2 linked regions of the Drosophila melanogaster genome follow. The protein of the gene in region 1 purifies or fractionates together with the protein of each later gene. This does not show direct contact. Each region holds a gene or a part of one and is shown in the gene's direction. Other genes may lie near its edges.

Evidence for each region.
Region 2: the proteins of MFS16 (region 1) and mmy purify together in Drosophila melanogaster (affinity purification with mass spectrometry, with the first as the bait; one large-scale study listed by BioGRID). This does not show direct contact.

What each region holds. Positions count from the first base shown.
Region 1 is NT_033778.4:21,278,027-21,287,268, forward strand, and holds MFS16 (major facilitator superfamily transporter 16), read left to right. Parts: upstream 1-4,271; 5' UTR 4,272-4,516; coding exon 4,517-4,538; exon of another isoform or gene 4,539-4,804; intron 4,805-4,811; exon of another isoform or gene 4,812-4,960; coding exon 4,961-5,186; intron 5,187-5,304; coding exon 5,305-5,456; intron 5,457-5,516; coding exon 5,517-6,085; intron 6,086-6,355; coding exon 6,356-6,566; intron 6,567-6,623; coding exon 6,624-6,772; intron 6,773-6,828; coding exon 6,829-7,200; 3' UTR 7,201-7,653; downstream 7,654-9,242. Other genes in the region: Rgk3 (Rad, Gem/Kir family member 3), read left to right, coding at 369-549, 666-799, 957-1,067, 1,773-1,919; CG34203 (uncharacterized protein), read right to left, coding at 3,166-3,495, 3,555-3,569; CG10505 (uncharacterized protein), read right to left, coding at 7,694-7,985, 8,042-8,990, 9,051-9,201.
Region 2 is NT_033779.5:6,466,432-6,477,384, reverse strand, and holds mmy (mummy), read left to right. Parts: upstream 1-3,480; 5' UTR 3,481-3,693; coding exon 3,694-3,754; intron 3,755-5,312; exon of another isoform or gene 5,313-5,424; intron 5,425-5,670; coding exon 5,671-6,057; intron 6,058-7,425; coding exon 7,426-8,540; 3' UTR 8,541-8,794; downstream 8,795-10,953. Other genes in the region: CG9536 (uncharacterized protein), read left to right, coding at 640-1,163, 1,583-1,939, 2,115-2,586; HemK1 (HemK methyltransferase 1), read left to right, coding at 9,777-9,986, 10,046-10,566, 10,621-10,861.

The sequences.
Region 1 (9,242 bases):
AGTCGAAAAGTTTTTCCCTTCGCTCGCCACGTTATTGCGATGCCAAGTGGCCATAATTTTAATTTTAACGAGCATAAAATGCAAAAGTAGCGGCTAACAAAAGGAAGCCGGCAAGGCGCTGGGTGCGGAAAATGTTGGGCTACGTTGGTTGGCTTGAGTTGTATGGATGCTCGACTTTTCGCACAACGCCTGCACTTGACGGTGCGCAGTTAAGAACTTTTAATTTCGCCTCCACTGGGTTGCAATAAAACAGGGCATTAAATACTTTCGTCAGTCACGAAGGCCTGATGCCCAGAATGTTGTAAACTTGTTGAGTTCCGTGTTTCAATTGGCCCGTGTTTGCTTTTGCTGTTTTGTGTGCCTTGTAGGATGAACTGGAGCAGGCGGATGCCTTTCTGGTGGTCTACTCCTGCATTGACAAGGAGTCCTTCACGCGGGCCAAGCAGATACTATCGCGACTGCAGGACATGGACCTGCTGCGCCATCGACCCACCATCCTGGTGGCCAACAAAATTGATTTGGCCCGCTCACGCGCCGTTTCCGCCCAGGGTGAGTATTGCAATTAGCCACTACCGACAAGTCGTTGCATTCATTTGCATCGTCAATTAAGTGGCGTGACCTGACCGAATCCGTATCCACCACCATTCCACCATTCTGCTTCGTAGATGGCAAATGCGTGGCCTGCACGTTTGGAGCCAAGTTTATCGAGGTCTCCGTGGGCATCAATCACAACTGCGACGAGCTCCTGGCCGGCACGCTCACCCAGATTCGCCTCAAGAAGGACCAAGTTCAGTTGCAGGTATGTTCAAAGTCCCAAACAAAACTAAAAAAGAAGAGAAAACCCATAGGTCTAGCTCTAGCTCTCTATAGCTCTAGTTTGCTGGTTAGCTAGTTGTACTCCCATCTATCTCTGTTTTTGGTGTCTTGTAATCAATGTACATCGATCGCTTTCGCAGCTAAATCCGAAAAAATCAAAAGATAAAGATAAAAACAAATTTAAAGAAAACACAAACATAGAGACTGTAGAAACTGATAACTGTCTGACTGATCTTAAAGCCGACGACGGGGTAAGTAAAACTAAATGTACCCCCGACTAAAAATCCATTTAAAATCACCTGCTATCCGGACTGAATCTAATCGATGTTTAATCGGTGTGTTCTTCAAACCCCAACCCGTAATCGAAACAAGCATGATTCTATAGATAGAAGTTATATACCCTGTATATCCTATTTGGTGTCTAAAATATAATGATGAACAAATGAACACATTGTAAATCTTATAAAACCCCAAAATACTTTTGGAGATTTGTAAAAGTATCCTATAGATACTTTTTCTGTGAAATCCAATAAAATCCGAGCCATAACTCCCTGTTTATGCGTTGTTGATTGTATTCATAATATATATAGAAGCGCCCTGAACTTTCGCCAAAAGAACTTGTGCCTGTTTGCCAACAAGAAGAAAATGTGTCAAGTGTCCAAGTGTAGAGAAACTATTCCAAGCACACTGCCAAAAGTGTTTTGTTTGTTTGTTGTTTATCATCCTGTGCCCACTCCCAGAATCCGCACAAAGGACATGAAAAATGCAAACTTCAATTGGCGCCCCAAAAATGGAATAACCACAAAACTGCAGGGCCATAAAAATGCAGTTGAATAGAGAGCCAAATGTAAATAAAGCCCGTAAATCCCCGCCCACCCAAGTGAAGCATTTGTTCCTTTTGGCGAATACATAGAGTAGAGTAAATGTGATTTATCTAATATTTTGGCCCATTTCAGGGACCAAGGGACGCCAATTCGCCGGCGCATTGGTACAAAAGCCGCAGCGTGATGCTGGCCAGCATGAAGGCCCGCCAGATGCTCACCTGGATCCTGGGCAAGGAGGACTCCAAGTTCAAGCACTGCGAGAATCTGCAGGTGCTCTAAAAGGGCAAATCGATCCAAAATCTATAGGTCTATACGAGTATATGTACTTAGCGGCTAAGTGTGTTGATATGTGAATATGTATGTGTAAAGCTTTATCTCTAAGTGCTCCAGATGGGCTCATCTAATATGTAAACAGGTTTCGAGATTTCGAAGCTCTCCAATTCGCCTGTAAGCAGCCATTTGCATACCGAGGAGTGGGTGTGTGTGTGTGTGTGTGTGCGTGCAGCCAGCTATTTGTAGTGTCTAACGTAAGCCTGATAATCAAAAATTAAATCAAATTTAATGTAAAACCTAGGGACGTACATATGTATGTGCAACGCTTGCAGCGACTATGCGTATGAGCAACTTAATGGAACCAAGCGAAAGGAGCAAAACCAAAAATTCTAACTAAACCTAACTAAGCTAAACTAAACTAAACACAACAGAACAGAGAACAACACTACTTATGTACTTAACTAGCAACTTTAGTAACTTTTCTAAGCCAGGAGCAAGTGGAGGGAGGGGGGGGTCGATATTTTTCATAAGCTAGCGGCTTAGCTGTTTACAAGCAGAATAAAGGTGTGCAAAATGTTCGCAGCAAAAAAGATAGTTATATATACTATATATTTAACCGAAGAGTAACGATTTTCATATAATATTTATATAGAGTATGTGTTAAAGTCGGATTGCAGCACTTTGTTATTTTCGTTTTCAGCAGCTTAGGGAAGTCTTACAGGGAGTTAGCTAGCTGCGTAGACAGATTTAAAATAAAAACATAAAAAAAAAGAAATAGCCCTCGATGATCCATCGTATATATATATACATATATATTTATATTTATATTTATATTGTAGCGTTAGCAGTCAATATTCTTTGTGTCTTCCTTAGTCAAATATGTATGTGTGTGTCGGTGTGTTTATATTAGGAATCCTTCCAAGAAATAGTGCAATGCAAGGAATTCGCGTGTCCTCCACAAAAGCCTTTAAGTAAATGTGCTCAAAGTGGAAACATGAAAAGTAACTACAATAATATACCTAACTCTAATGAGAACCACATAGATCGGTGTGTACATATGCTTAATCACGTGTGTATATTTGCAAGGCGCGTAGGCTCAAACAAATGAAACAATAAAATATTTAAATGTTTAACAATATAAATAAGTTCTATATTACTCCTTAACAGGCTAGGTTTGTATAAAAGATATCAATGGCATATGACTATCTATTGACATTAGATGAGGCGATGATCTTAAGACTAAAGAGTTTAGTTAACCAAACTGCTGCTGCGGATTCTTCACCTTCACCACCTGAGATCGGTAACGGAAGAGTGGCCGGAAAACATTAATCTCGGCCAGTTCCATATCATCGGCCGCCTCCTCATAGGCCAACTCCTCCAGAGCTCTTCGTAATCTGCTCAGAGTGCGCTCGTATCTGTATAAATTTCTAAGGGTTTCACTGCTGGAAGAGATCTCTGGATGAGCATCCCCTTCATTGGCATCACTTAGTTGTTGAATCTGTTCCGCTGATGTGAAACGATCTTGGGGATAACCGAGCACAAGCTCAATGATCACAAAACAGGCAATAAGTTGGAAAATAATCTATTATATGGATACATATATTAGCAACAAATACTTTAAAGGTTGCCAATCGAACATACCTTGTTGCAACGCATTTTAATGGTAAGTTTTTTAGATTTTAAGTACTGATATAAAATCGACTTGTTCTTTGCTGAACTGCTGGTTGTTAAGTGTGGTTCAACTTGGCTAATTCCCACATTTTATACTATTGGCAAAGTTTTTTTGCCCGCCGTTATTAGCACCTGCAATTGTTCTTGTTTCCCGCCTTGATTTTCGCACTGGAAGCGGAGGAAATTAGCGTATAAGTGTGGAAAAATCCAGAGCATTTTCCGCTCTCAGTCGAGTCTGATTGAAAAGCCAGGTGATGTGCACGCGGTCTGTTGTATTTTCCCCTGCTAGTAGTCTGTTGTCAACAAGCGGAATTTCAACAATGAGTAATTTGTATTTATTCATTCAGTCGCGTGTCAAAAGAAATAATTAGCCAGTGATCTCAGGAAATGCGATTCCGAGATCAAGTGTCAACGTCTAATTTCTAAAGTAAACTTATAAGCCAAATCTATAGCTGTAGGTGGATCCCAATCGTTACCTAAACGTGTGGCTTGCAAATGCACAGATTCAATACAAATATACATATATACAAAACAGCCAAGGAGAAAGGATCTCTTGAAGTAATTATTATTCAAATGCAATTTTCAAATATAACTGCAGTTTAGAAAATTAAACCAGCAATACCGCTCTGGAAACATACTAAAATATACAAGACGTAGCATCTGTGGTCACACTGGCAGCACATATCGATAGTCGCGGGCAGCAGTCGATGTTTCTCCACCTTTATTTTGTTATTTTCCGACGGAGTAATGTTTACTGCAGCTGTTTAGTGTGTGTTTAACGGTAATATTAAGTGGCTAAAGCTGTTTTTCAATGTCGCCGTGTTTATTCCCAAGCAATCTGTTAGATTCCGCAAGAAATTCCATCTGGTGGCGACAACAAACAAAGACTTAGAAATCCGACAAGCGTCGACTATGAAATACTCTGTAAATTGATGAGGACAAGTGAACAGAAAAGTAAATAAACATTGATGGATTACGTTAAAAACAAGAGACTTCTATGATAACAGTATAGGAATAAAACGATCGGCGTTCGTTGAGATAAAAAACGTGCGGTTTCTTATCACAAACGGCAAAACACTATCTAAGTTGAATATTTTTCGCCAACGCAGCAGAATAGTAAAGCCAGCGGAAACGCATTTCGTTTTACGACTGCGATACGAAGCTTCATTGTTTGAGCGGAACGACGACGTAAACAAGAAAACTGGGGAGCAGAAACATATGTATGGTGATAAGTTCGGAAATTTTATCCGCGACCTCAGCAGAAACCGCAACCCACTCCGCTGTACCTGCACCTTCCACCCCTTAAAGCCGAAAATGTATCTCGAACTGAGTCACCACATCACTCACCACCTACCTGTTGATCATTGTTCTTTTAGGTAGCTGGCATTACTCGCAACCGAAACGGATTCGGGAACCCAGCCACCTGGACGAGCAGCACTTGCACCTCGCCCACTGTCCGCGCCGGTCGATGAGAGCTTCACTGGGATTGGGCAGAACGCGAAAGATGAGCAATAACTACAACGACGTGCCATTCGGCATCCGGGCTGTGCAGCGGCTGTCCCGACAATGCTGCACCCGCTTCCATGCCCGCAGAGATTTGCTGTGAGTATGCGATAACTTCTAAATATAAGATTTCATTGCAAATGAGTGCTGAGCGTTAAGTTGACCCCATATTATGAATAACTATATTGGGTAGATATTGATATTATGTCTATTTCAGCTACAAGATGTCAGTGTTTGTGCTAACTTTCCTGGCCTACGCCTGCTATCACATGTGCCGCAAGCCCATCTCCGTAGTCAAGTCGGTGCTGCAAGGAAACTGTTCCACAGCGCTGGCTGCATCGGGTCAGGATTGTGGATATGCGCCCTTTGGTTAGTTCTTCCCTTAACACTTCTAACGTGTTACCCTATAAACAAGTGGCCAATTTACAGATGTTCCCGATGCCACCACACTCTTTGGAATGCTGGACTCGGCCTTCCTCTTCTCCTATGCCATCGCTATGTTCGCTTCTGGTTTCGTGGCGGAACGCGTTTCCCTGCGATACTTCTTGTCCATGGGCATGATCCTCACCGGAGTGTTCACTTACATGTTCGGCATTGCTCGCACCTCCAATATCCATAGTTTGTGGTATTTCATAATAGTGCAAATATTCGCTGGCATCTTCCAGACGACCGGATGGCCAGGTGTAGTGGCCCTCGTGGGTCGTTGGTTTGGAAAGTCGAAACGCGGGCTCATTTTTGGTATATGGAACAGTCATACGTCTATTGGAAACATTCTTGGCACGCTGATAGCGGCGCATTATGTGGAATCCGATTGGGCGCTGTCGTTTGTGGTACCCGGCATTATCATTGCAGCCGTTGGATTTTTACTCTTCCTTTTCCTAGTGGATCAGCCGGAGATTGTGGGCTGTTATCCACAAGCCGGACAGCATGAGCGTCGCGTGGCCAACGAGTCTGATGTGGAACAGGACGACGAGGAGCAGGTGCGCCATAACGATGCGGTAAGTATCAGATTCAGATTTTTCATTGATGTTCCGCATGCGATGTACATTACACCCGGTCTCCCAATATGTTGCAATTATGATTTCAAAAACGTACTTTGCTCGGCGTTAGTGTGTGATCAGTTTTGGGTACGAAACTTCGAGAACTGTAAGTGCATGACTATTTCCATGGTTTTCTTGTTATGTCTGCCATTTTTGCTTATGTAAATCTTGCGCTTTGCACGCCACTCCATTTTAAATAGTTTAAAAATTCGTCTTATTTTATTTTAGGAAATCAACTATAGATCTGCTCCCACCGAACGTACTCCAATCCTTCCACGATCTCAACCAGAGGCGGTGCCAAGGGGTCGCGGACGTCCCATCAGTCTGATCGATGCTTTATTCATACCCGGTGTGGTAGAGTTTTCGCTGTGTTTGTTCTTTACCAAGCTGGTGAGCTACACCTTCATGTACTGGCTGCCACTTTACATACAAAAATCCAGTAAGTGCCCAGAAAATAGTATACAAAACAGTCAATAAAGCGATTCCTCTTATGCAGGCACATTGGGTCCAGAACTGTCCGCTGATTTGTCCACTCTTTTCGATGTGGGTGGTATTTTGGGTGCAATAGCTGCGGGCTATCTATCAGATGTGAGCGGAATGTCGGCCACCGTCTGCACAGGCATGTTGTTCGTTGCCTCGCCCATTGTAAGTACTCTAGACAAGCCACAGAAACCATTACTAGGAACATGTATTCGTTTCAGCTGCTGATGTATCAACAATATGGTGCATTGTCGATGACAATCAGCATAGTGCTCTTGATTGTGGTCGGCATCTTTGTGAACGGACCATATGCCCTGATTACAACCTCTGTAAGTGCAGAGCTGGGCCAGCACAGCTCCTTGGAGGGAAATGCCAATGCTCTGGCCACGGTGACGGCCATTATCGATGGTACTGGGTCAATCGGAGCGGCAGTTGGTCCACTGCTTGCCGGCCTTATCTCCACCGCCGGATGGCAGTATGTCTTCCACATGCTCATCGCTGCCGACATCATTGCCATGGTGCTGCTGGGGCGACTGGTCTTCAAGGAGTTCGCTGCACTGCGTCGTGCATCGCATCGTATTCGGATTGAATAGCAGGAAGAAGCTGAAGCGGATGTGGTTTGACCATATATATATTTTTGTTTCTAGCGTTCTCTGTACATACCATAGCATTTGTATAGCTAACATAAAGAACGTTTTCTTTTCATTCGAGAGCATATCAGAGTGTTTCTGATCCTAGTTTTACCCATACATGTCAATACCTAATGTTATTTTAAATGGAATGTTTACCATCATCTTAGGCTATCCATCAAGTTTACAATTTTGATATATTACCTACATACATATATATATATATATATATATACATACATCTATGTTGTAATCTTGTGTGTGCGCGCGTGTGTCAGAGTCTCCTCGTTTTAAGTGCCGAACTATCATTAGTACTAGCGTAATTCTACTGCTATGTAAATACACTTTATCGTACACTTTTCGTACCAATAAAACCGAATTTGACTGTTCTCCGCGGCAGTACAATTTCTCAATGGCGATGCTTAAGTTAAATCCTGCTTCCGCTGGCGATCCTTGCTCATTCTTCGGAAATGGTCAAGGAGTCTCTTCTGTTGCGGCGCATATAACTCTCTGATGCAATCCTCTTGAGGAACTTTACGGTGGTCGCATCGTTCTGATTGACGAGCTTAAGAAGGGCTCCATCCTTGCGCTGCAGGAGCTTGTGAGGTGCTCCGAACTCCACAATCTGGCCAGCATCCATGACCAGGACGCTGTCATTGTCCATCACAGTGTGCAATCTGTGAGCGATCGTTAGAACCGTGCACTCAGCAAACTTGGTCTGGATGGTTTCTTGGATCAGGATATCAGTTCTAAGAGATAAAGTGTTAATTACGAAAAAAATGAAAATAATATCTTAAGAACCTACTCTGTATCCACATTTGCAGTTGCTTCGTCCATGACCAGAACTCGATTCTGTCGTAGAATGGCTCTGGCCAAGCAGACCAGCTGCCTCTGACCCATGCTGAAGTTGGAGCCACCGTCCTGCATGCGACAGGAGAGACCTCCTTCCAATGAGGCAACATGCTTCTTCAGTTTGACGTCATCCAATGCACTCCACAGGGACTCGTCGCTTTTTTCATCAAATGGATCCAGATTGAAGCGCAGTGTTCCAGAGAACAGAACCGGATCTTGTGGGATAATCGAGATTCTACTTCGCAGGTCGTGGAGACCCAGTTTACCAATGTCCAGTCCATCGATCTCGATGGTTCCCTCATTAAGAGCCAATCGGAATAGAGCTTGAATTATAGAGGATTTTCCCGCTCCAGTACGTCCCACAATGCCAATCTTTTCCATGGGCTGGGATTCAAAGTTCAGTCCTCTAAGAATATCCTCGTCTCCCGGGGAATATCTCATGCGAAGATCCTGGAATCGAAGGTGACCCGCTTGCGGCCATTCAGCTGCAAGATTCACACTCTTTGGACTCTCAAGTGGTGGCTCCGATGGCGTCTGGGCGTACTCTAGCACACGTTCCACGCTGGTCATATTGTTCTCCATCTCGGCAGTCTGGCGCATTCCCCACTGGCACATAATCACCAATGTCATGGACTGGGTGATGGCCAGACCCACATCACCGCTGTAGAAGCTCTGATTGATAACCAGAAAGCTAAAGGTCACCGCCAGGATATAGATCACGCAAATCAGATCGGTCCAGAAGGAAAACGCCCTGTTGGCGCTTACATAAAGAAAAAGGGCAGAGGAGTTTGTGTTCTGGTGGCCATGGAAAGTCTGTTCCAGCTGCGGCATGGCGTCCATGGACCTAATGGTCGAGTGTCCATGGAAGGTTTGGTTTGTGTGCGAGTAGATGGGACTGCGTGCTTTTAAGTTAAATGAGAAAAGTTAGTAAGGCTAGATTATTCTGATAAATTTGAACCTACTTAAGCTCTCAATCCTCTTCAGACTTCGACTGGCGCCTATATAGAGGGCACGGCAGAAATACAATAGTATAACCATAATGGCTGCTGGGATGAGCAGCCAATAGTTGGCGATGGCCACGATCACCAGCACAGCCACCACATCTACCAGGAACTAAGGGACAAGATTAAGAATTGCATGAGACTAAAGAAGAA
Region 2 (10,953 bases), on another chromosome or scaffold:
GTGAGACTACATTGCTTGAGTTCAATATTTCTGCGAATTGATTGAATTTCAATGCAATTACTTGTTTTAATATTAAATCAATTGAATTATACTTTAAATACAACGTGAAATGGAGACATTGAAATTATTAAAGCGAAGATGTACATCAAACGAACACATGCATACAAATTGTCATAATAAAACGTAAATTAGATAACTTTTTTAAATAAACACGTTGTTTGTATTACTTTTGGGTCTGCGGAAGAAAACAGCAATATTATTGATACAACATTTTTTTACAAGTAAATGTTTAAGCTTAGCTTACAAAATGGCGCCATTAGTTCAAAAGTACAATTACCAATTACTGGTGTGGCCAAATTAAAAGGATTTATACTGGGTAACGGTCTGGTCACGTTGTAGCGAAACAATCGATAAACGATAGCTACGCCTTTCCACTTCGATGACAGTCTTGTTATTGTAATTGTGAAGCAAATTCGTAAATATTAGCAAATGAACCACTTTAAGGCCCCTCGAACGTGTTGAGTTGCGAGGCAGACAAGCACCGCAGCGCATTCAAGACCACCCGGTTCCAGTCCGCCGCCCAGGAGCTGCGAGGCCAACGAAAAACGCGTGCGAACACCAGGAGAAGCGATCGGTGCCATGTCAGCTCAACTGGCCAGAAACTGGCCGTACATCTGGCAACAGCTCAATGCTCTGCTGCACAACACCTCGCCGGTCATAACGCTCATCTGCGTGGTGACCACGTTCGGCTACCTGCTATCCTTCTCGGAGACGGCCATCCTGCTGCTCAGCGTCACTCCCGGTTACATCCTGCCCAATGGCAAGTTCTGGATATGGACCGCCTTCACGTTCTGCTTCATCGAGCTGCACTGGTGGGAGGTGGCCGTCGACGTGGTCACCGTCGGCCTGTGCGGCAAGATGCTGGAACCGCTCTGGGGCCAGCTGGAGATGTTCAAGTTCTTCGCGCTGAGCAACTTTGGCGTCTCGCTGCTGACCACTGTCTACTATTTGTTCTACTACATGGTCACCAAGAACCCGACCATTCTCTTCGAGGTGCACATTCACGGCCTGGCCGGATACGTGGCTGGCATCTGCGTAGCCGTACGCCAGATAATGCCCGATCACCTGATCTTCAAGACGCGCTACGGACGTCTGACCAATAGGTGAGATAATTGATTGATATGTTTCCATTTCAGAGTCACACGGTAGCTAAGAGCTCGCTTTAGAAAGTTTAGTCTTAGAAATCTCTCGATTATTTCCAAATATGGCTTTAAACCTAAAAAGATACATTCACAGAATCAAAGAGCGGTAATTTTTCATACTCTGCCCCTAGATTTAAATGGGCGCAAGCTCAATAAATTGAATAGAATTTACTGGCTCATCAGCCCTTTAACTTTGGGTCAAAGTTCAATAAATATTGGTTTACTAACGCGCAAGTAAATACCCTCGAGAATTCTATGAAATGATACTTTGTAAATAATAACAAACACACCATTGTTTAAGATACTATATTGTATTTCTCAAAGTAAATCCTGAATCATAGCCGCCACTTGAATATACAAATGTACTCTTTACTACTCAGGAACGTTCCCCTCACGGTGCTCATCATGGCCATCATACTGTGGGCCATTGGCCTGCTAGATGGCACTTATCCGGCTATGTTCGCCTCCGGATCGCTGGTTTCTTGGATCTATCTCCGCTTCTATCAACACCATCCCAATGGGCGTGGCGACAGCTCGGAGAGCTTCACGTTCGTCAGCTTCTTCCCAAACGTATCACAGCCGTTTATCAGCGTATTGGTTAATCCCATTTACAATTGCTGTTTGCGGGCGGGCGTGGTCAAGACGCCCACGCCGCTGCGGACGATATCTACGGCCAGCCTGACGTCGGTATCGGTGCAAATGCCGGGAGTGGATCCGCATGACATTGAGAGAAGGCGGTAAGTAAGCTAGCAGTTTAACTGGATTGTCTCGATATCAATTTAAGTACGCTTATCTAAAGAGCCACTAAACATTTAATCACAACAGGCTAATAATTGCTCATTAGATAAGAGTTTTTGCATTAGCCTAAATAATTATAATGTTTACATTGTGATTTTTTTTCTTCGATCCTAGACAAATTGCCTTGAAGGCGCTAAGTGAGCGCCTAAAGGCCACGGACTCCAGCCGCCACGCCCAGCTGCCCAAGTCGTTCCCGCAGCAGCAGCAGCTGCAACATCATCATCACCAGCACGCGCCGCACCAGCAGCAAAAGCATCACAGTCACGGCACTGGCCACAGTCACAGCCATGGAGCGGGCCATAGTCATAGTCATGGAGCGGGACACAGTCATGGGCCCGGTCCTGCTCAGATGCCGCAGCCCGACTTCCTGAAGTCCACCGGCAGCGCCAGCCAGCTGCCCATCACAACGTCGCGGGCGGAGCCGCGCATGATCAGCACCATGAGCCCGATTGCAATACCAATGCCGGCGCCACCGCCCAAGGAGGGTAATGTTCCGGGTCAAGGTGCTGAATCCTCCTCCAGCGGAGGTGTCGAGGCGACCCTTATTAACCTGGACGACGTACCAACCACGTCTTCGATGGCCTAGACAGTGATTCTATGCATATATTAATGAATTTTTGATATTTAAACGAATGATCTAATGATTTACGCCCATGTTTTGTATGATTCTGCATCAAGTACGTACCCCCCATCAGTGTTCCCATTTTGTAATTACCGTTCGTGTGTTTCGTAGTGTCCTGTAGACTTACGCTTGCTTGCTGCGCACACCGCCGGCCATGCTGCTAGGAGCGGCGGAGTAATATGAGATCAGCCTAAACCAATACCTTCCGGGCGTTATGAAAATACTAGAGCCCTTACATAGATGCATACTTTCTGTTGTAGTCCTTACATGTAATTGAAAATGATGCTTTATTTAGTTAATAACTGTAAATATATTTAAAACTCCGAAAATGTCGTTGTTTCTGACTCGAAAAGCTTATGAATGCTGAAAACGTATGCGAATTACTAACAATTGCAGTGGGGTCGTTCATATGCCATTCATGCCTTTACTACTTTTAAAAAAAATTTTTAAATTGCTAATATATGTGTTTGCAATATTTTACTATCCACTTCTAAGCAAAGATTTTTTCTTAAGAAATGTACATTCATTATACGCGTATATATAAAGATTAAGCCATTTTACCGAACAAACATTCATTCAGAATGTTTAATTAACGTCAATTAATGCCAGATTAACAAATTTTTAACTATAGTAATTTTAACGAAAAATGGTAAAATAAAGTCTGACATTATAAAATAGATTTAAAAATTCAAAAATTTCGAAAAATAAAGTTTTAATAATAATTCTTTGTATGTTTTTGTATTTAATTTTTAATATTTTTCGAATTATGCACTTGGTATTTTTTCGATGGCCCAGCGTAGTACGCCCACCCCTCAACGGTCACACTGGCGGCCAGCTGGATTCGCTTGTAATCGATATCGATTCTCCGCCCAGTTCTTGGGAGACTGTTTCATTCGGATTGTGCATTTTCCGTTTGCCCATGTAATCAACAGCCGCACGCAGTGTGAATTAAACCTCGTCAGGACTAGCACGATGCCATAGAATCCTCGACGGACGAGGCACAGTCACTGCATAAACAATTCGCACGGAGTGAAGTGGAGCCAAAAGTAATACAGGGTGTTCCCAGACAAAATGGGTCGCAGCAACTTCAGTTCGCATCACCAGCAGACTCATGTGAGGCGCCACCGCAATGGTTAGTTGGTAAAAACCCACTCGAAAAAGCAAACTGATAATGGTAGCGCAATAGTTGGAGCCCAGAGCTGCGATAAGAAAAAAGCGGAAAGCCCACAATCACACACACACACACAGCAGTGGGTGTATGTAAACAACTTACTTGCTATCGCTGTTTTGTTCCGTTTTTGGGTACTTGTGTGTGTGTGTGTGTGTGCGGGGAGTGTTTTTGTTGCTGCAGCTTTATCTTTTTTTTTATGCGCACTCATACATGCAGACAAGTGTTTTGCTTCGTGGCAAAAACAACAATAATGGTCAGTGTAGCGAATGTAAAATACCCTCTTATCACTCCTTAAATGTATTTTTTACCCCGTTTTCCTTAAATCGATATAGATATATATTGATTTGTTATACATTTATACATTTTTATTTATATGACATCTTATCTTATCTTATAAAGATGCATATAATGGTGATATTTTTCAATTACTGTTATTCTTGTTGATACCTTATTATTGCGCTTACTTTTCCATTCCATAATATTTAATATAAACCATTGCGCTTAAGTTAATGGGTATTAAAACCGAATAAACCGGCTGAGCACCGACTTAGTTTTGCCATGTTTTTGTCAGTTCTTGGCTCGCCTTAATGCCATAACCTTTCCAACAAATCCCGATAACCCACTCAACTAGTTTGTAACCCGTTTATCAGGAACTGAACTGTATGAACTATATATAAATATGTGTCGCCCTTAGGAGTTTCCTTGTGGCTGGCGTTTCTTGGACTGTGGCACCTCTTACTTTCACTAAAACTAAAGCCCGTGTTCAGGGCCATTTGGTTTCGAATTCGATTTCGGTTTCTGATATTTCGCTTTGCATTTGCAACACGCTGCTGCTTGGCGAATTGGCCAAGCAGCGAAAATCCGATTGAAATTGCTGCAGTCCCAGTAGCCGTATCAGCCGTGTAATCAAGAGAGCCGACCGCAGACACGACTAATTGATACCCTCACTCACAAGTTACATGTTCTTAAGTCTTAAGTCGTTGGGAATTCCCGCATTCCTCTTATTCAATTTTAATAAAAACAAGGTTGAGCTCATTAAGATCACTTAACAGATGTACATACATACAAATATTTATATCTACATATGTAGAAATACGAAGCAAAGCTGTTAAATTATAATTATAACTTTTACGTTTCACCTATAAGGAATATGTTTCTCTTTCGCTTTCTGAAACAGATTATAATTAAACAATGTAGTATCTAATACCAAAAAGAGACTGTGATTGATTGGGCACATTTTCCGCCATGATCGCGATCCCGCCCTTCAGGTTTTTACAGGGTATGGCCAAAACAACTGGCGTGGCCATGTTAAAACGCGGCTGCAAATACGTTAAGAGACACACGTTCGCACACATTCGCGCCCAAATACCAGATACCAATATAACCTGCACACGAGCTACTGCCATTCAGATATTCAGGCGTTCCCACAGAGACACAACCAGATGGAGGCGAAGGCGATGGTGGTTGTCTGACGGCTCCACTTTGAGCAAGAAAAACCACTGAGGGCGATCGCTTGGCGCTCAGTTGCGCTTTGGTTACCACGTATAGCGGAACGCAACAAAGCCCGGACAACCCGACCACTGTCTTTTTACCGCATTCGCCAAATAATCAGTCAGCCAGCGGAGAGAAACGTAAATACACACCTTCGGGAGAGCCCGTTCCATTAGCTGAATTAACAAACAGATAGCAGCAATTAATATATGATTCCAATGTGATCTCTAAAGATAAAACCTTGTTTTTAACTGTGTGTTCGCATTTAAAATGTTCCAAAATTATGGTGAAGAATATAACGTATTAAGTAGGATACCGCGTAATAATATTTTGTCTCTATTGTTTATAATTTGTTAGTCAAATATCTTGTCTCTGGATTCTTGCAGCTGGCGGTGCCACATCAAAATCACCAAACGCAGCCAAAACTTCGCCAACAATGACGGACTACCTGTCGCTGCACTCGCGACTCGCCCAGGTGGGCCAGGAGCACCTGCTCAAGTTCTGGCCGGAACTAACGAATGACGAACGCATCGACCTGGTGCGGGACATCGAGGAGCTGAATCTGGACGAGATCAAGCTGTATTTCGACCGCGCCACGGTCTCAATGAACGAGAATGGCATCAAGCTGGACGATCGCCTGCAGCCGCTGCCCGAGGGCAAGCTAATCTCCATTGCCAGGGCGCCGCTGGAGAAATTGGACGCCTACCGAGACGAGGGTCTCCTCCAGATCAGCAACGGACATGTCGCTGTGCTGCTTATGGCAGGCGGACAAGGTGAGCTGGAGTTTCTCTAATTTAACAGAAAAAACAGAATAATAGCTAGGGAAATAGTACACCTGTGTTTAGTTGGTAGCATATTTAAGTCAATAGTGTGATTATGGAGCAATTTGACGCACTGGAAGTGGGACAGACCTTTGTGGGTCCAGTTGGTAGTGTTGTATGGCGTTTATATAAACTTCAGATAGCAATGGATTTTAAGTCGTCAATCATTGATAGCAAAAACGATTAGGTTATTCGAAAATGAACGATTTTCGTTTTGAGACTTACCATAATGGTTTTTAACGTTTCCAATGCGCGAGCACGATATGGTAGTCAGTTTAAAAATCAAAATATATACAAATCAAAGGCTACAAGTAAAGAAATTTTCCATTGCACTCATAGTTCGTTCGTTTCAGAGTTCACATTTGCTTGTATCTCTGAAAGATACTTCCTTAGATACCGTACAAGTTGAGATATTTTTATCATGCCCCAATCGGCTACCCATCAAAAAAAAAAATTGCGCCTTTGCGAGCAAAAAACATAGTGTAAGCCGAACTAAAACAGAAACTTGAGCATTCGCAGAGTGTGTGTGCTTTATAAAAGCTAATTAACTCGATATAAAAGTGCTCACAAATACACGCAATCCCAATCAGCTGCCCACTCATGCAGCTGCATTGTAATAATTGCAATTGTAATTCCGTTTGCAAGACAAAAAGCGTATAAAACTAAGAAACACGCCAGGCCAGCAGCAATGTGGAAGGCATTCTTACAGCCCCAGACTTGCCTTTCTCATTTTGATTTCAGGCGGGGCCAGTGCTCTTTCGAATCGAAACATTGAAATGTGGGCGGCATTTGACATTTCCTTACCAGTTTCTTGGGCAAACGCTGGAGTCCAATCACGTAATTGTCTTTTGAGAAACCAAGAAACGGAGTTGAACACCGATTGCTCATAGCATTATTTCTTGCACGTTCAAATTCGAGAAGAGTCATAAGTAGTGAACCTAGATAACGGTTTCTGATTTCTGAGAATTTCTGGTCAGGAGTGGAGGTTCCGTTTGCTGTACCGATAAGCCGTAGATTAAATGTAGTCAGATCATTTTGAAACCGGTAGTGGAACTGACCTTAAACAAGCCAGCTTGTATCTTATATACATATATGTTAAAAAAGGCGCAGACAAAAGACAACCTAAAGAGCGAAACGATGGTCGAAAATAAACTTGTTTTTAAGGTCAGCCGGGTGAGATATAAAAAATGCAGCAGTTCTTGTCGTTAACAAGTGATTAATACATTCAGGAATTGTTATCTATATACATACTGCAATAATTATTATATTGGGGAACTGTATTGGTGGAAACCTTCGTAATGTTGTCCTTTCTCTTTGCAGGCACACGACTTGGCTTCGATCATCCCAAGGGAATGTACGATGTGGGACTGCAGTCTCGAAAGACCCTGTTCCGCATTCAGGCCGAGCGAATCCTGAAGCTGGAGGAGCTCGCCCAAGAGGCGAATGGAAAACGTGGACACATCACTTGGTACATCATGACGTCGGAGCACACGGTGCAACCCACATACGACTACTTTGTGGCCAATAACTTCTTTGGCCTGAAGGCGGAGAACGTACTGTTGTTCGAGCAGGGATCACTGCCGTGCTTTGAATACGATGGACGCATCATTCTGGACGAAAAGCATCGGGTGGCGCGTGCGCCGGACGGCAACGGAGGAATCTATCGGGCTATGAAGCGCCAGGGGATTCTGGACGATATGCAGAAGCGTGGTGTCTTATATCTGCATGCCCATAGCGTGGACAACATCCTGATCAAGGTGGCCGATCCCGTTTTTATCGGCTACTGCGTGCAGGAGAAGGCCGACTGCGCCGCTAAGGTGGTGGAGAAGGCAGCTCCCAACGAGGCTGTGGGCGTGGTGGCCATTGTCGATGGCAAATACCAGGTGGTGGAGTACAGCGAAATCTCGGCCAAAACAGCCGAGATGCGCAATTCAGACGGCAGGCTGACCTTCAGTGCTGGCAACATTTGCAATCACTTCTTCAGCTCGAACTTCCTGCAGAAGATTGGCAGCACATACGAGCAGGAGCTGAAGCTGCACGTGGCCAAGAAGAAGATTCCCTTCGTGGACAACGCCGGCAAGCGTCTAACGCCCGACAAGCCGAACGGCATCAAGATAGAGAAGTTTGTCTTTGACGTCTTCGAGTTCGCCCAGAAGTTCGTGGCCATGGAAGTGCCACGCGACGAAGAGTTCAGCGCGCTAAAGAACTCCGATGCAGCTGGCAAGGATTGCCCCAGTACTGCCCGCTCGGACCTCCATCGCCTGCACAAGAAGTATATCGAAGGCGCCGGTGGCATTGTGCATGGCGAAGTCTGCGAGATCTCGCCCTTCGTCACCTACGCCGGCGAGAATCTCGCCTCGCATGTGGAGGGCAAGTCGTTCACCAGTCCCGTCTACCTGCGGGACAGCCGCGATCCCTTGCACGGACACCTTTAAGATGTAGGGGATCTGCATGGACGCATAGACTGATGGACGGATAGTAGTCGTTTCGATTATTTGTAAATCTTTCGTATACCGTTGATGAACTTTATGATTCCCCAAACTGTAGTTAGTGCACGGAAATTCCATTGATTTCAGTACTTAAAGGAGACTTGTAAAAATTTGTTACCTATTGTGTCCGTTGATTTATTTTTCGTTTTTGAAATAATTGTGCAATCGTAATGTGAATATATACAATATATAGAACATGTAATGATATGAATATTTTAATATGTTGTAAAATACAAAAATTATTAGTACGGCCAAGCGATTGAATTTTCACTTCTTGGTCAAGCAATGGATCTTTTGCAGAAATACTCTAGACCAATCCCATATTTGAACAAGCGCCATTCTCTATTTACAAGGTTGTTAAATAGATATCAGGGAAATGTCTTGTTGGATGGACTAATCATATAAAAGCAATTGCTGGGCAAACAAACCTCTTGTTTTCGTGCCAACTTGAGTTCTAAAGAAAAGAGTTACCTTAACTATGTAAACCCATTTAGTTGGAAGTTCTTTTGCTAAGAAGTCATTATTTTTGTATCCAGAATATCTCAGAATATATTAACTATCTATCTGATTATGTAATGCTCTTGGTTTCTTATAAAATTTACATATTATATAGACGTCAGAGCTCATATGCTTCAAACCAGTTCTAATTTGCATTGATTATTGATGGACCAGTAGTAGTTTAGCTATTTTCCTACGTTTCAGACTAGGGACTTACATTAAACTAGACCAAGCTAGTCAGGAATATTCTTAAAAAAAGTATTAAAAAGCTTAACGAGCTTTGCTACTTTCTCTTACAGTTATTTTATTCATGTACATACATACATATATTATTATAATTCACCATTATAACTCCCCCTTTTCATATTGTTATGCTTAATAGACCTATTTCCGCAACAATAAACAAAAAGGGCCGACTGCAATCAGTGCGTGAACACTTGATATTGCTTTTCCATTTAATTGGAACAACCTAATTATGTTGCATGTTTAAATTTTCCGCCAAGAACTCGAAAATTAAGTCACACTATTCCGCTCTACGGTAACACTTGAAGCGTGAACACTTTTCAAATATCGACCACTGGTTTATTGTAACGGTCGAGAAACGGTCACGCTGGAACGAACTGCAGGCAGTGGGTCGTCAAAATTTTGTTGTTAATCAATAGCAATTAGATAATAAGTGAAATAATGCTCAGACAACTGACACGGTCAATGGGCCCGACCTCGCGGCTGCTTAAGCAGGTCAACTATGGCACAAATGCCCCAGCTGGCACCCACATTCCCGTGACCAAGGCCCTGGAAATTGGACAGTGGGAGGAAAAGCTCAAGGCCGCCGGCGTCGAGGACAGGAAGTTCAACGTGAAATGCATCGTGTCGCATGTCCTGAAGCAGAAGTTTGTAAGTATCTGTGAGAAAAGCTGGCTATCAACATCACTAACCATGTTTACGTTCCGTAGAGTTCGGTTCCTGACTCATTTGACCAGCTGCAGCTAAATCCCGGCCAGCTGGCGGATTTCGAGCGCTTCCTGGAGGCCCGTTGTGCCCGCATGCCGTTGCAGCACATCATTGGCGAGTGGGACTTCATGGACATTACGCTGAAGACATCGCCGTCGGTCTTCATTCCACGCCCCGAAACGGAGGAGTTTATGCGCCTGGTGATCGATGATCACAAGAACGCAAAGCACGTCGATCTTTTGGAGGTGGGCTGCGGCTCGGGCGCCATGTCCTTGTCCATGCTACACAGTCTGCCGCAGGTGGTGGCCACTGCCATTGAGCGTAGCAAGGCGGCAACCGTTCTGGCTGCGGAGAATGCCAAAATGCTGGGGCTGCTGAATCGATTTGAGGTACACAACCACACCATGGAGGAGGACAAGTACCTGCCGGAGGCGCTGAAGGACAAGAAGTACGATTTGATCATCTCCAATCCTCCGTATGTGAAAACTGAGGAGTTTCAGTTTCTGCATCCCGAAGTCGTGGTGTAAGTGATGTTATACCAGATGGATGCAGTGCACTAACTATCTTATATCCCCAGGTATGAGAACCTTAATGCCCTGGACGGTGGGTCCGATGGATTGAGGGTGGCTCGACTGGTTTTCGACTTGGCTTGTCGGCACCTGCGTCCCGGTGGCAAGCTCTGGCTGGAACTGGGCAACGACCACCCGCCGATGGTGAAGACCATTATGAATCTGAAGTACGAGGGCCGGCTCAAGTTCATCGCCGGCTACAGTGACCAGTATCAGCGCGAGAGATTCGTTCAGATCGAGAAGGTCTAGGCGAGATTGCGCCATAGACAGGACGGAATGCTATGACTTTGACAATGCAATTAGCTATAACGTTGCCCATGCATTTAGCTGTGATTTGATTT